Oryctolagus cuniculus: one gene and its partners. The protein of the gene in region 2 purifies or fractionates together with the protein of the main gene of each other region. This does not show direct contact. Links are inferred from orthologs where the notes say so. Each region holds a gene or a part of one and is shown on either strand. Other genes may lie near its edges.

Evidence for each region.
Region 1: the proteins of TSEN2 (region 2) and TSEN15 purify together in Homo sapiens (affinity purification with mass spectrometry; 4 studies listed by BioGRID and IntAct, counting the BioPlex papers as one, with this or other methods). This does not show direct contact. The link is inferred for Oryctolagus cuniculus from reciprocal best matches to the Homo sapiens genes TSEN2 and TSEN15.
Region 3: the proteins of TSEN2 (region 2) and TSEN34 purify together in Homo sapiens (affinity purification with mass spectrometry; 3 studies listed by BioGRID and IntAct, counting the BioPlex papers as one, with this or other methods). This does not show direct contact. The link is inferred for Oryctolagus cuniculus from reciprocal best matches to the Homo sapiens genes TSEN2 and TSEN34.

What each region holds. Positions count from the first base shown.
Region 1 is NC_091444.1:1,816,514-1,820,754, forward strand, and holds the start of TSEN15 (tRNA-splicing endonuclease subunit Sen15), read left to right. Parts: upstream 1-1,308; 5' UTR 1,309-1,388; coding exon 1,389-1,463; intron 1,464-1,933; exon of another isoform or gene 1,934-2,747; intron 2,748-3,522; coding exon 3,523-3,604; intron 3,605-3,889; coding exon 3,890-4,025; intron 4,026-4,241. UniProt on the Homo sapiens protein: Non-catalytic subunit of the tRNA-splicing endonuclease complex, a complex responsible for identification and cleavage of the splice sites in pre-tRNA. It cleaves pre-tRNA at the 5' and 3' splice sites to release the intron.
Region 2 is NC_091441.1:114,767,824-114,772,354, reverse strand, and holds the start of TSEN2 (tRNA-splicing endonuclease subunit Sen2), read left to right. Parts: upstream 1-1,588; 5' UTR 1,589-1,719; coding exon 1,720-1,805; intron 1,806-4,531.
Region 3 is NC_091449.1:4,517,984-4,522,374, reverse strand, and holds TSEN34 (tRNA-splicing endonuclease subunit Sen34), read left to right. Parts: upstream 1-1,477; coding exon 1,478-1,720; intron 1,721-1,796; coding exon 1,797-2,022; intron 2,023-2,097; coding exon 2,098-2,355; intron 2,356-3,621; coding exon 3,622-3,809; downstream 3,810-4,391. UniProt on the Homo sapiens protein: Constitutes one of the two catalytic subunit of the tRNA-splicing endonuclease complex, a complex responsible for identification and cleavage of the splice sites in pre-tRNA. It cleaves pre-tRNA at the 5'- and 3'-splice sites to release the intron.

The DNA of each region.
Region 1 (4,241 bases), on a different chromosome or scaffold from region 2:
CGTCCCTTTCCTGTGTTTCGCACAGGGCACTCAAGGTCCATCAGACGTGTGAGCTGCGGGACATGGGCTCCTGCTCCCTCCAGCGTGCGTTTCTTGTGACTGCGATGGGTGGTGCAGGGTCCATCAGAGGTGCGCGCTCCTGGGTGTGGGACACTTGTTCCCTGTGACTTTCCGTGGGAGGCTCAGGGGTGGCCCTGCTGCTCCCCCCGGCGTCCGTGTCCCGTGATTCCATGTGGGAGGCTCAGGGGTGGCCCTGCTGCTCCCCCCGGCGTCCGTGTCCCGTGACTCTCCGTGGGAGGCTCAGGGGTGGCCCTGCTGCTCCCCCCGGCGTCCGTGTCCCGTGACTCTCCGTGGGAGGCTCAGGGGTGGCCCTGCTGCTCCCCCCGGCGTCCGTGTCCCGTGACTCTCCGTGGGAGGCTCAGGGGTGGCCCTGCTGCTCCCCCCGGCGTCCGTGTCCCGTGACTCCGCGTGGGGAGGCTCAGGGGTGGCCCTGCTGCTCCCCCCGGCGTCCGTGTCCCGTGACTCTCCGTGGGGAGGCTCAGGGGTGGCCCTGCTGCTCCCCCCGGCGTCCGTGTCCCGTGACTCTCCGTGGGGAGGCTCAGGGGTGGCCCTGCTGCTCCCCCCGGCGTCCGTGTCCCGTGACTCTCCGTGGGGAGGCTCAGGGGTGGCCCTGCTGCTCCCCCCGGCGTCCGTGTCCCGTGACTCTCCGTGGGAGGCCCGGGGTTGGCACTCCTTCCCCCAGCGTGTATCCTGCTCCACTTTCCCACGCGCACTCCGGCGGCTCTGGCCCGCGAGCTGGGGCTCTCCTGGGCAGGCGTGCGCCCCCCGTCGTCCCGCTCGCTTCCCGCACCCCTAGGCGGTGGCCCGGCGCACTATGCCCGGGAGTTCTGGCGGCTTCCTGCTGGGCCTCGTGCCCAGGGCCTGCCGAGTCCGGAAGGAGACGTCCCGTCCGGCCTGGGTCCGGCCTGGGCCTCTGGGTTCCGAGCCGCCCGCCCCGCGGCCCCTTCCTCCCAGGCTCCCGCGCTGCACCCCGCAGCGGCGCCGGGCCGGCGACCGCCCTCTCCTCAGGCCGCTTCCCCGCTCCTGGGGACGCGGCCCCTCATCCGCTCCCCGCATCCCCGGACGCGGGCTCTGAGCGCCGCGGCGGCCGCCTCACGCGGGACTCGGCCCGGCTCTGAGGAAACGCGGCGACGCCGGGAGGCGTCTGCGACTTCCGGTCCGGGCGGGCTGCGGGGGCAGCGGAACCCAGGCGCGAGGCCCGTGCTCCCGGCCGGACGCCGATCCGCGTGCACTGGAGGCGGAGCCCGGCGCGCGGCCCCAGCCGCGGGCCGCACGTGCGCAGCCGGGAGGCGGAGCCAGGCGCGCGGGTCGGTGCAGCGCGGCGCGCCATGGCGGAGCGCGGCGGCGACGGCGGCGCTCGCCCGTGGGCCCCCGAGGACGCCTGGATCGGCAGCCACCCCAAGGTGAGGGGCCGGGCGCGGGCTCCTCTCACGCGTGGGCGGAGACGCGGCCGGGAGCCGTGCGGGGTGGCGCGTGGGCGGGGACGCGGCCGGTGAGCCGTGCGGGGTGTCGCGTGGGCGGGGACGCGGCCGGGAGCCATGCGGGGTGTCGCGTGGGCGGGGACGCGGCCGGTGAGCCGTGCGGGGTGTCGCGTGGGCGGGGACGCGGCCGGGAGCCATGCGGGGTGTCGCGTGGGCGGGGACGCGGCCGGGGAGCCGTGCGGGGTGTCGCGTGGGCGGGGACGCGGCCGGGGAGCCGTGCGGGGTGTCGCGTGGGCGGGGACGCGGCCGGGGAGCCGTGCGGGTGGCGATGGGCCCGCGAGGTCGGGAGGGCCGGTTGCCCCGTGTGCCGAGTCCCGCCCCCGCCCCCCGCCCTCGCCCTCGCCCCCTCCCCCGCCCTCGCCCCCTCCCCCTCTCCCCCGCACCCAGGGCGGCGCGGTGTTGGGGGTCTCCCCCTGAGAAACGGGGTGACCACGGCGCGCACCGCGTGGGGCTCCTCCGGCTTAGGTCGGTGGCTGTTGGTCAGGCGTCTGCCGCGGGGAGTGGCCGTGCTGGTCACTCAGCTCGCTCTTTTACGTTTCTTAAGACTGGGGCCGGCGCTGTGGCGCAGCCGGTTAAAGCCCTGGCCTCCCATATGGGCGCCGGTTCGAGTCCCGGCTGCTCTCTGCTGTGGCCTGGGAAAGCAGTGGAGGATGGCCCAGGGGCTTGGGCCCTGCACCCGCGTGGGAGACCGGGAAGAAGCTCCTGGCTTCAGATGGGCACAGCTCTGGCTGTTGCAGCCATTGGAGGAGTGAACCAGCGGATGGAAGACCCCTCTCTCTGTAACTCTGTCTTTAGAGACTTTACCGTTTATTTGGAAGAGTTAGAGAGAGGGAGAGGGAGACCCGACCCTCCACCGTTCACTCCCCGGATGAGTGCAGTGGCTGGGGCTGCAGGATGCCGGCCACTTGGCCGGTGGTCAGTGGCCTGGTGGCCCGTGGTCGTGGCTTCCTGCGGTGTGCACAGAGCCAGCCCCAGGCTCAGCCTCCAGTGCAGGCCGTGATAGACTGAGCGTGGAGGCCGAGTTCCGCAGAGAACTGAGGGACTTAGCGTTTCCTGCCCAGCACTTTTCTCACTGAGTCCGCTCAGTCGGTTGTGAAGAGGCCCGGCCGGGTGCAGTGCGGGTCCGTGTGCAGACCTGCGCTCTGTAGACCTGGACAGCAAGCTTCGGAGCGGACGCACTCTGCAGTCGGGGAGAAATAAACACCAGTGGGTATCTGATTTCCGGCTCTGCCTTTGTGTGGCTCGGTTTGCCAGTGACTTAGGTCCGTCCGTGGAGCGTGGTGGCAGGGCGGCCCCCGCAGGCACCACTCCCCTGCCGTCCGGCTCACAGCCCCTCGGCGCCCCGTCGCGCGGAGGATCCGGACCTCTGGCGTGGCCCCGCCTGCGGTTGCATGGCAGCCCTGATCTGCACCTGTGCGCTGACACCCGTCTTCCCAGCCGCCCTCGCGGAGCTCGCCCTGCGCGAGCCCTGCTCGCCCGGGGACGCGCGGCCTCGGCGTCCCCTCGGAGACGCGTTCCCCCTGCAGCTGGTTTGTCCGCTTCGGTGACACCTCCCGGGCGTGGGGAGGAGGGGGCGTGGCGTTCCGGCAGTGTCTCCCCATGCAGGTGACAGGCCCCCACGAGACCCCGGGACAGCCCACGGCTGCTGCTGCGGGTCTCGGACGCGTGTGGCTCACCCTCACCTTGTCGACTGCTCGCTGTGGCTCTGCGTTGCTTGTTCTAAGGGCAGGGCCTTGGGCCCGTTCTGTCACTCACCGGCCACACCCCGAGGGGAGCTCCGTGTGTGGTCTCATCCCATCGCGGTCACAGGTCGTTTTTGCCCAGTTTGTGTGTTCTGACAGCTGCAGACCCTCCGGAGGCAGATGCCATCCTGCGTCGCCCTCTACCTTCTGTGCAGATAGCACACGTGCAGTGACACGCGCCCACTGGAGGGGCACCCGAGCCTCCCTTCCGCGTCTGACGCCCCCATTTTGATTTCCAGTATTTGGAGATGATGGAGTTGGATGCGGGAGATGCCACGCAAGTGTACGCAGCGTTCTTGGTTTTCCTGGACCTCATGGAGAGTAAGCCGCCCACCTCTGTGTGGACTGGGGCCGTGCTGGGGTCGGGCGCTGGGTTGGGATCTCCGCGCTGACGTTACGGTGAGCAGTCGCTCATGCATTTGCTGCTAGTTTTGTCAAGCAGTTTTGCAGCTTCCTTATCTTTTTACGTTGGGAATTATTGAGTAACAGAAACGCTAGACGAGTAGAGAAGAGGCCGGGGTAAGGGTGACATTGCCACATAGAAGTTCGGAGCCTTTACTTTGGCTTTTGATAAGCGGTCTTGCCCGTTCGACGCGGCTCTTCCAGGTAAAAGTTGGCATGAAGTGAACTGCGTGGGACTGCCAGAGCTGCAGCTCATCTGCCTGGTCGGCACGGAGATAGAAGGGGAGGGCTTGCAGACCATTGTGCCCACGCCCGTCACAGCCTCCCTCAGCCACAACAGGTGAGCGCGGGTTTTGGTCTTGGCTAACCGACAGTTCAGAAGCGAAGCAGCCGGGATTCAAACCCGTGGACAAGAGATGCTGGTGTTGTAGGCTTCGACTTAACCTGCCACACTCTAACATAGATCCCACATTCTTTTTTTATATTATTAACAGTAAATGTTTGTTGGTTGTGTTTTGAGTTTGTGAATCTTTCATTGTCTTATTTATTTGTTTAC
Region 2 (4,531 bases):
GCAAACGTTGTGGCGGGAGGTTCACAGGAAGCCAGCTCTCTGCTCCCCAGCCTTCACTGAGTGGCTGTTTGCAGAACGGAACTATCTGGAACAGTGACAGTCGTGCGTGTGAAGCTATGCCATGCACGCGTGACGCAGCATTTCCTTATCGCTCGGCGCTGCGGACTTAAATGCCGCTTCTCTGGGGTTGTTTTAAAACCGTCCAGCAGGGGGCCAGCAGCATCTACTGAGTGAGTTAAAGACGCAAGATGTCCATCCAAGATGCGGGGGTGCGGAGACCACGCACTACACGGTCCTGTCCGCTTCGGGGAAAACCTGAAAAATGATGAGAAAAGGTTATTTACAAATGTACGGTGAGGGGCGAGCCTGGTGGCACAGCCGGGCCGGCAGCTGCTTGGTTACCCCTGCACCCACCTTGGAGGGGCTGGCGCTGGTCCCACCTCGGCTTGCGATCCGGCTTCCTGCTAACGCACCCCGGGAGGCAGCAGCGATGGCCCAGTGCCGAGCCTCACGTGGGAGGCCCAGATGGTGTTCCCAGCTCCTGGCTCAGCCTGGCCCGGCCCTGGCTATGGTGGGATTCGGGGAGCGAACCAGCGCGTGGAAGATTCTACTTCTCTTTGTCCCGGTGCCTTCCAAATACCTCTTTTAAGTTTAAAACACTGATTGTACGTCGAGGAGAAAATCTTGGGGAAGAATCTCTTGTTCAGTGGCTTTGCTCCCAACCCTCCGGGTGGACAGGGCTCCAGGTGACGTCACCTGAAATCCCATAACCAGTGAATCCCAAATCCCGAAACGACGGGTGCCAGGCCGGGAGGCGGAGACCCCGGCTGTGGTCTCGGCCTCTCGTCGGACCTGCAACTCACAGCCCCCCTGGGACCAAGGGAGGTGGCGGCGACACCTCAGAATTCCCGGGCTGTGGTTCAGCCGGGGCGCACAGGTGTCTGCGGGGGCCCGACAGGTGCGCCCGGGGCCGCGCTGCACACAGAGAAAGCAGGGGCCGCCTTCAGGGCCGGCCTCAGAGGGTCCTTTCCCCCAGGTCTGGTGGCCTCAAGGGTCCCGTGCCTCCGGGGGGCGAGGACTCTAGGTCTCAGCTCCATGACCTGTAACGGTGTCACTGGGTGACACTGGACAGGCGACTGCGCGCCTCGTCTGTGAAATGGGTTTGTGAGGGGGAGTGAAAGGAGCGTAGCATCTGTACAGAGGGGTTGTCCGTGTCATCTCGGGCCAGAATTCGCGCCGCCCGGGTTAGAGAGCACGCGAGGAGGCGAGCCAGGTGCACAAGGGCCCCGCCTACAGGCCTGCGCAGGCGCACTCCGCCAACAGCCGAGGGGCGCGCCCGTGAGCTCTGCGGCTGCGCAGTCGGCTAGCTTTGCGGCCGTGCCGCTTTACGGCAGCGGTGTTGGCGCCCCGACCGGCGTTGCCGAGGTTACGGCGAGCGCGTGGAGCCGAGACAGGTAAGGAGGCCGGGCTGGGAGCGAGCGGGATGGAGGCTCGGTCAGCGGGGCGAGGGGGAGGCGCCCGAGGCCGGACCGGCGAGGGCCGGGTAGGGGCCAGGCTTCCGCGTGCTGCCGGGCGCCGAGTCCTCCGCCCGTTGCTGCGGACGCCGACGCCTCGTCCGGCGCTGGCACTGCCCCGTGCGCCCGGCCGTCGGCCTGAGGGGAGCCGCGGCCGCTGGAGGGTCGGGGCGGGGGCCTCCCCGAGGAAGGAGGGGGCCGAGGAATGCGGCTGGCCAGCGCCCGGCCGCGGCCCGCGCGTGCGTGTGTCCGCCCGCGGTGCTCGGGCTGCGGCTGCTGCGCGCCGCGCAGGTGTGTCTGCTTCGCCCGTCCTCCTCGCCGTCCGCGGGTGGAGCGTCCAGCGTGCTTTTCCCTGGGGAGGCTGCGCGGCTAGGCGCCCCGTTGTTCCCCGGAGGGGAGAGTAAGGAGCAGGCCTGGCTTGTTGTTGTAAGGTTGATTTATTTGACAGGCAGAGCGGCCGAGCCCAGCTGGCGGCAGCGTTCGGGCCAGGTCTGAGCCAGGCCAAAGCCAGGAGCCGGGAATCCGTCCTGGTCTCGCGCACGGGGCGGGCAGGGGCCCAAGCACTGGAACCATCACCAGTGACTCCCACCCCGGGCACACTCGCAGGAAGCCGTGTCAGAAGCAGAGCAGCCAGGACTCGAACCCGGGGCTCCGACGGGAGGCGTGGCTCAAGCAGCTGTTGAACCGCTGGTACCGCGTTGCCAGCCTTCACCCTTGCCCACCGTGCACACACGAACACCACTCCCAGGCTGGTTTCTTCATCTGTTCACTTCTCCGCCAGAGAACCTGCAGTGGGGGCTGGCGTTATGGCTGAGAGGGCCAAGCCGCCGGTCGTGACCCTGGCACGCCATACGTACTGGAGTGCCAGTTCAAGTCCCAGCTGCTCCGCGTCAGGGTCAGGCAGAGGGTGGCCTGGACGCCGGGCGCCCTGCCACCCATGGGGGAGACCAGCGTGGAGTTCCTGGATCCTGGCTTCCGCCTTGGCCCAGACCTGGCTGTTGCAGCCATTTGGGAATGGATGGAAGATCTCTCTCATCTCCTGCCTTCTCTCTCTCTCTGCTTTTCAAATAAATAGATCTTTAAAAAGAAAAGACACTGCAGTGGTGTCAAGTCGAAGCCAGTGTTTGCACCGAGAGCCCTGACTGCTGAGCCAGTCCTGCCTGTGGGTTTAGTGGGCGCGGGTAGTGTTCCTGGTGGGGCTGGGCCCGCCCACCTCGCAGGCCCCTGCTGGCCGCACGGAGCTCTGTTTCCAGGCAGTGAGGCCGTGGGCAGGTGACTTGCCCTCTGTGCACCTGTGTGTGCCAAGCGAGTCTAGTTTTTCCCACTGGCACCCCGCGCCTACCTGTGGTGGTACAGGCTCTGGTTTCTCGCTCCCCCCACCGGTTGCGTCGGCACTGAACACTGCGGGTAAGGGGGCGGCCAGTGCAGTCCTGCCTCTGCTTTGTCCGCCGGCCCAGTGCAGGACACCTGCTCTGTGAAGCCGGGGACGACCCCGCTCCCCTGCGGATGCTGTGTTCCCTGGAGAGCTTGCTTTCCGCCCTTTGAGGAACCTCACGGTGGCGGCCGTGATGCTGCCTGAGGTGCAGCTTTACGGAGACGCACAGCTCCCACAACCCACCCTTCTGAAACGTGCGGGCCAGAGTCACCGCACTGTACCTAACGCGGGCATGTCTTTACTCCACAGGCCTGTATCTGCTGGCAGTCACCCTCCCGGGTCCCCCTGTCTCTCTGTCCCAGCAGCTCCTGGCCTGTCTGCCCCTATGGACTTGCGTGGGATTCGTGGTCTCCCAGGGGGCTTCTCCCACTTAGCTCAGTGCTTCCAAGGGGGGTCAGAACGGCGTTGCTTTCTTTGGTGAATACGATTCCGTCGTGCCGATGGACCCCGTTTTGTTGCCCAGTCATCTCTTTCTTGATGGACGTTCGCATTGCTTGGTTTCTCCTGGGCTCCTATGAATAATAACGCTTCCTGTGCAGATCTCTCCGGGAGCCTGTCTGCCCTTTTCCCCGATCTGTACTTGGGAGTGGTGTGGCTGGGTTACATGGTAACCATTGGATGACTGGACAGGGAACTGGCAGGCGGCGCTCTAGTCCTGTTGAACTTCACCTGTTGAAGGTGAAGAAACGGCTGAGAGGGGTGTGCAGGGTGACACGCTAACGCAGCCTGTGTGTATGGAACCGCCTTGCTCCTGCCGTCACGAGGCCACAAGTGTCTCCAGACTTGGGTTGTAAAGTGATGGCAATATTTTGAGGCAGGGACCCTTCTGTTGCATACGTGGGTTGGAACACAGTCGTCCCTTGACACCCATGGGGATGGGTTCCAGGACCCCCCGTGGGTGGTGAAGCCTGAATGTTCAGTCCCGTCTCTGAAAAGCTGTAGAATTTGCAGAAAACCTACACGCGTGCCCCTGTGTACTTTGTTTTTTTGTTCAAAGATTTATTTATTTATCTGAAAAGTGGAGTTTCAGAGAGAGGGAAAGGCAGAGAGCTTCCGTCTGCTGGCTCATTCCCCAAATGGCCCCAGTGGCTGAGTCTGGGCCAGGCCAAAGCCTGCAGCCTGGATCTTCATGCAGGTCTCCCACGTGGGTGCAGGGACCCACGCGCTTGGGTTATCTTCCACTGCTGACCCAGGTGCACTAGCAGGGAGCTGGATCAGAAGTGCAGCAGCCAAGACTCGAACCAGCACCCTTATGGGATCCTGGATGTCAGCGTCACAGGCTGCAACTTAACCTGCTGTGGCCCAATGCCAGCCCTCTCCTGTGTATTTTAAATCCTCTTGGGTTACATAGAATATCTAATATGAGAGTCCACCAAAAAGTTTGTGAAAAAGTGGATTTCAAGATAGGAATAAAGGGGGCCGGTGCTGTGACATAGCAGGTAGAGCCGCTGCCTGCAGTGCCACCATCCCAGATGGGTGCCAGTTTGAGACTCCGCTGCCCCACTCCCACCCAGCTCTCTGCTATGGCCTAGGGAAACAGAAGATGGCCTCAGTGCTTGGTTGGTGGGATGCACAGATGGGA
Region 3 (4,391 bases), on a different chromosome or scaffold from region 2:
CCCCCGCCCAGCACGCCCCCGCGCCGCCTGCGCTTTCGAGGGGCCCGCCGGGCTGCGCTGCGTGGAGCCGGAGGCACCGCCACCGCCGGGGACAGGGCTAGGCAGACACGCGCAGCACGAGTCCGCGGGGCACCCGGGTCCGCATCTGCCGAGCGCGGCCCGCGGGCCGCGAGTACGTGAGGGGGCGGGGCTTCGGGCTCCGCGGGAGGAGGGGACGGGCCCGGGAAGGAGGCGGGGTCTGGAGCTCGGCGCTCGGAAGGAGGCGGAGCCTCGCTTCGGGTTCCCTCGGTCCGCGTCGGAGGTTTGAGCTCACCGCTTCGAGGTGGGGCCACAAGCTTCAGCTTACTTCGGCGGCAGCCGAGTGCGCCAATCGCTGTTCGGATGTGGGCGGGGTCACGAGCTTCGGCTTACTTCGGAGGTAGCCGAGTGCGCTAATCGGGGTTCGGATGTTGGCGGGGTCCCCAGCTCGGCCGGATGTGGGCGGGGCCACGAGCTTCGGCTCCCTTCGGAGGTAGTCGGGTGCAAGTGCCCCGCGTTTGCGACTGAGCGTCCAACCTCGTTTTCACGGGGGGCGGGGAGAAAGCGACCCCCGAGGGGGCGGCGCTCTGAGGGCCGCGTGCGCCGGGGGCAGGAACGGGGTAGAACCGGGGAGCCGGAGGGCTGCGGCTGGGCGGGGCCGAGGGGTCCGGGGGCGGGGCGGTCCCAGCCTCCCGCCTCGCTGAGGTGGCGGAATGACGAGTCTGACGCGGGGGGTCGCCATGGGTGGGCGGAGGAAGCCGCGCGAGGCGCGCTGCGTAGGGGGCGGCTCCACCTCGGTCGGGACTTGGTGTTTACCAGGAGACCAGCTGCTTTTACCGGAGGACGGCGGGACACTCTGAGGGGAAGCAAGGACGCGGACGGACAGCTCGCAAGTGAGCTGACCCCGCCCGCGCGAGGGACGGCGGGTGCGCGGGGGCGGGGCCTCTGGCTTAGGGGTTCGGTCGTGGGGCGGGCACTCCCCGACCCGGCAGCCTGGCGGGGGGCGGGCCCAGGCTGCAGGATTGACAGGTCCCGAGAACTCCCGAACGCTGAGCGCCCTGCGCTCGGGAGGGGGCGGGGCTTCGAGCACGGAGAGCCGAACCCCGGCGGCTCCAGGGGAGTGGCCGAGCTCGGGCTTCCGGGAGGGGGCGTGGCCTCGGCGGCGCTCTGACGGGCAGGAGGCGGTGCCAAAGGTGGCCGCCCCGGAGGGGGCGTGGCGCCGCGCCTGCGTCGGTTTCTGTCTGAGGCGCGAAGGCACGGCGGCGGGTCCTGCGGTGGCGGCGCCGAGCGAGGCGCCGACCGCCGGGTGCGGAGGCTGTGCCGCGGCCAGGGCGAGGTCCCGCCCCTCCGAGGCCCGCGGGCGGCTCCGGGGCCGGGGCGGGGCTCCGGCGCGACCCCCGGGCGGCCGGCGGCGCCGCGCGGTTTGAGTGACCGCCTCGCCTTCGGCTCCCGCAGGAGGATGCTGGTGGTGGAGGTGGCGAACGGGCGCTCCCTGGTGTGGGGGGCCGAGGCGGTGCAGGCGCTGCGCGAGCGCCTGGGCGTGGGGGGCCGCACGGTGGGCGCCCTGCCCCGCGGGCCCCGCCAGAACTCGCGCCTGGGCCTCCCGCTGCTGCTGATGCCCGAAGAGGCGCGGCTGCTGGCCGAGATCGGCGCCGTGACCCTGGTCAGCGCCCCGCGCCCGGATCCGCGCCAGCACGGCCTGGTAAGGGGTCTGAGCCCGGGACCTCGGGGTCGGGCTGCACGCTGGGCGCGGGGCTGCAGCTGAGTCCGCCCCGCAGGCTCTGGCATCCTTCAAGCGCCAACAAGAGCAGAGCTTCCAGGAGCAGAGCGCCTTGGCCGTGGAGGCCCGGGAGGCCCGGCGTCAGGAGCTGCTGGAGAAGATCGCGGAGGGCCAGGCCGCCAAGAAGCAGAAGCTGGAGCAGGAGGCGGGGGCCGGCGGGGCGCGGGAGGCGGCCGCAGGGCAGGCCCAGGAGGGCCAGGCTTCCGGGGAGCAGGAGGAGGCAGGTGAGCGCGGGCCTGACCCCGGGGAGTGCAGCGTGGGGGCCGGCGACCGAGCCTAACCTCACCCCCCTGCCCCAGCCCCCTCGTCTTCCCAGCCAGGGCCTTCCGGTGGGGCGGCCCCCTTGCCCAGGTCCGCTCTGCTCGTCCAGCTGGCCACCGCCAGGCCGCGACCGGTCAAGGCCAGGCCGCTGGACTGGCGCGTGCAGTCCGAGGACTGGCCGCACGCCGGCCGGCCTGCCCACGAGCTGCGCTACAGCATCTACAGGGACCTGTGGGAGCGCGGCTTCTTCCTCAGCGCCGCGGGCAAGTTCGGCGGCGACTTCCTGGTCTACCCAGGTGAGTCTGGGCTGGGCCCCGGCCGCTGCACCGGGTCCCGGCGTAGTCGGCCTTTTTCCTTTTTTTTTTTTTTTTTGGTTTCTTCTAAAGACAGAGCAATAGAGGGGTCATGCATCCATTGGTTCATTCCCCGCATGGCTGCAAGTGCCAGGGCTGGGCCGGGCCAGGAACTCCATGGGGTACCCGGGCCTCCCACGTGGGTGGCAGGGATCCAGGGACTGGGCCATCTTCCACTGCCTCCCCAGGCGCATCAGCAGGGAGCTGGGTCCGAACAGAGTAGCCGGGACTGCAACCGGGACGCTGGGATTTCTGTTTGCCTCACATTTTTCCGACTTTTGAAACTCTTGGAAGGACAGGAACCACTGGGGAGCCCCCAAGTTCACTTAGGAGGTGGTTTGGTAGCTTTCATGAGATGTTTCCTGTGACCCCCAAGGCTCACTTGGAAATCTGTAGACAGCTGCACAGGAGTGCCCCCTGCAGGATCATCCGCAGCATTTAGAGATCGGGAGACACAGGGCCAGCAACGCGGCCTCGTGGGTAAAGCCACCGCCTGTGGTGCCGGCCTCCCATGTGGGTGCTGGTTCGAGTCCCGGCTGCTCCACTTCCGATCCAGCTCCCTGCTAATGCACCTGGGAAAGCAGGGGAAGATGGCCAAGTGCTTGAGCCCCTGCACCCACGTGGGAGACCTGGAGGAAGCTCCTAGGTTCTGGCTTTGGCCTGGCCCAGCCACTTGGGGAGTGAACCAGAGGATGAAACACCTCTCTGTCTCTCCCTCTCTGTAAATCTTTCAAATAAATGACTATATCTTTAGAAAAGTTGGAAAACAGCCAAAGAGATTATTACTAAGTTAGCAGTCAGAAAACAAAGCAATAGCTGTCAGAGGTTGATGTAGGCACCGGCACCGGGAGCCGAGCGGCAGAGACGCGCCCACCAGGGGCTCTGCCGACAGTGCCAGCGCGGTGCCGTCCCGGGGCTGCCCGAAGCCCCGCCTCCAAATACCGGAGCCGGAGCAGGCTCCGCCGCACCCCATCGGTCCACATTAGCCCCGGGGCTTTGGGGTTCTGCGTGAGTTTGGGGGGCCACGTCCTGGTCAGACCACGGCAGCGTCACCGGCGGTTCCCGGGTGGGGCTGGGAGGCCGTCCACTCCACATTTGGTTGTTTGCGTCGGATAGCGACGAGGAAGGATAAGAGCGATCGCCCCCCTGTGCAAGTACGGCAGCCGGGGCCGTGTCGCTGCCCGGCGCCTACCTGCCTCTCTCCCTCAGGCGACCCGCTCCGTTTCCACGCGCACTACATCGCCCAGTGCTGGGCCCCCGACGACCCCATCCCCCTGCAGGACCTGGTCTCTGCCGGCCGCCTGGGCACCAGCGTGAGGAAGACCGTGCTGCTCTGCTCCCCACAGCCCGGCGGCAAGGTGGTCTACACCTCCCTGCAGTGGGCCGGCCTGCAGTGAGCGCCCTGGCCCGTCGGACTCTGCATCCTTCCGGCTCCCCGCCGCGAGCTCTCAGTGGCTGTGCTGGTGTCGTTGTGACCGGTTCCCAAACTGTGGGCTTCTGGGACCCGGCGTGTTCATCTGTTCCTGCAGGGCCTCGGTCCCAGGAGGCCTCAATAAACTTGTGGACTCACCCTGAGTTTGTGGCTGCAGTCCTGGGAGGTGACATGTGGGTGCTCCCATCCGCGGGGACAGCTGTGGAGACGGCGTGGGGAGGCCGGGCGCCCTGCCCCGGTCCCCTTGCGCCGCAGAGGTTGTACAGAGAACACTGTGCAGCCGCTGCGAGTTCAGGGCTCAGAATTTGGGGGCGTCAGTGGGGGCTTCTAGAATGTTTCCGTGTCCTGGGTGGTGCTTCAGAATTGTTTTGATGTTGTTTACTTACACGTGTATTTAAATGTTTATCTCCTTTCTATCTGAGAGAGACATCTCCCATCCACTGGTTCACTCCCCAGACGCCCACAACGGCCAAGGCCAGGCCAGGCCAAAGCCAGGAGCAGGCAACTCCGTCTGGGTCTCCCATTGGAGTGGCAGGGACCTGTGCAG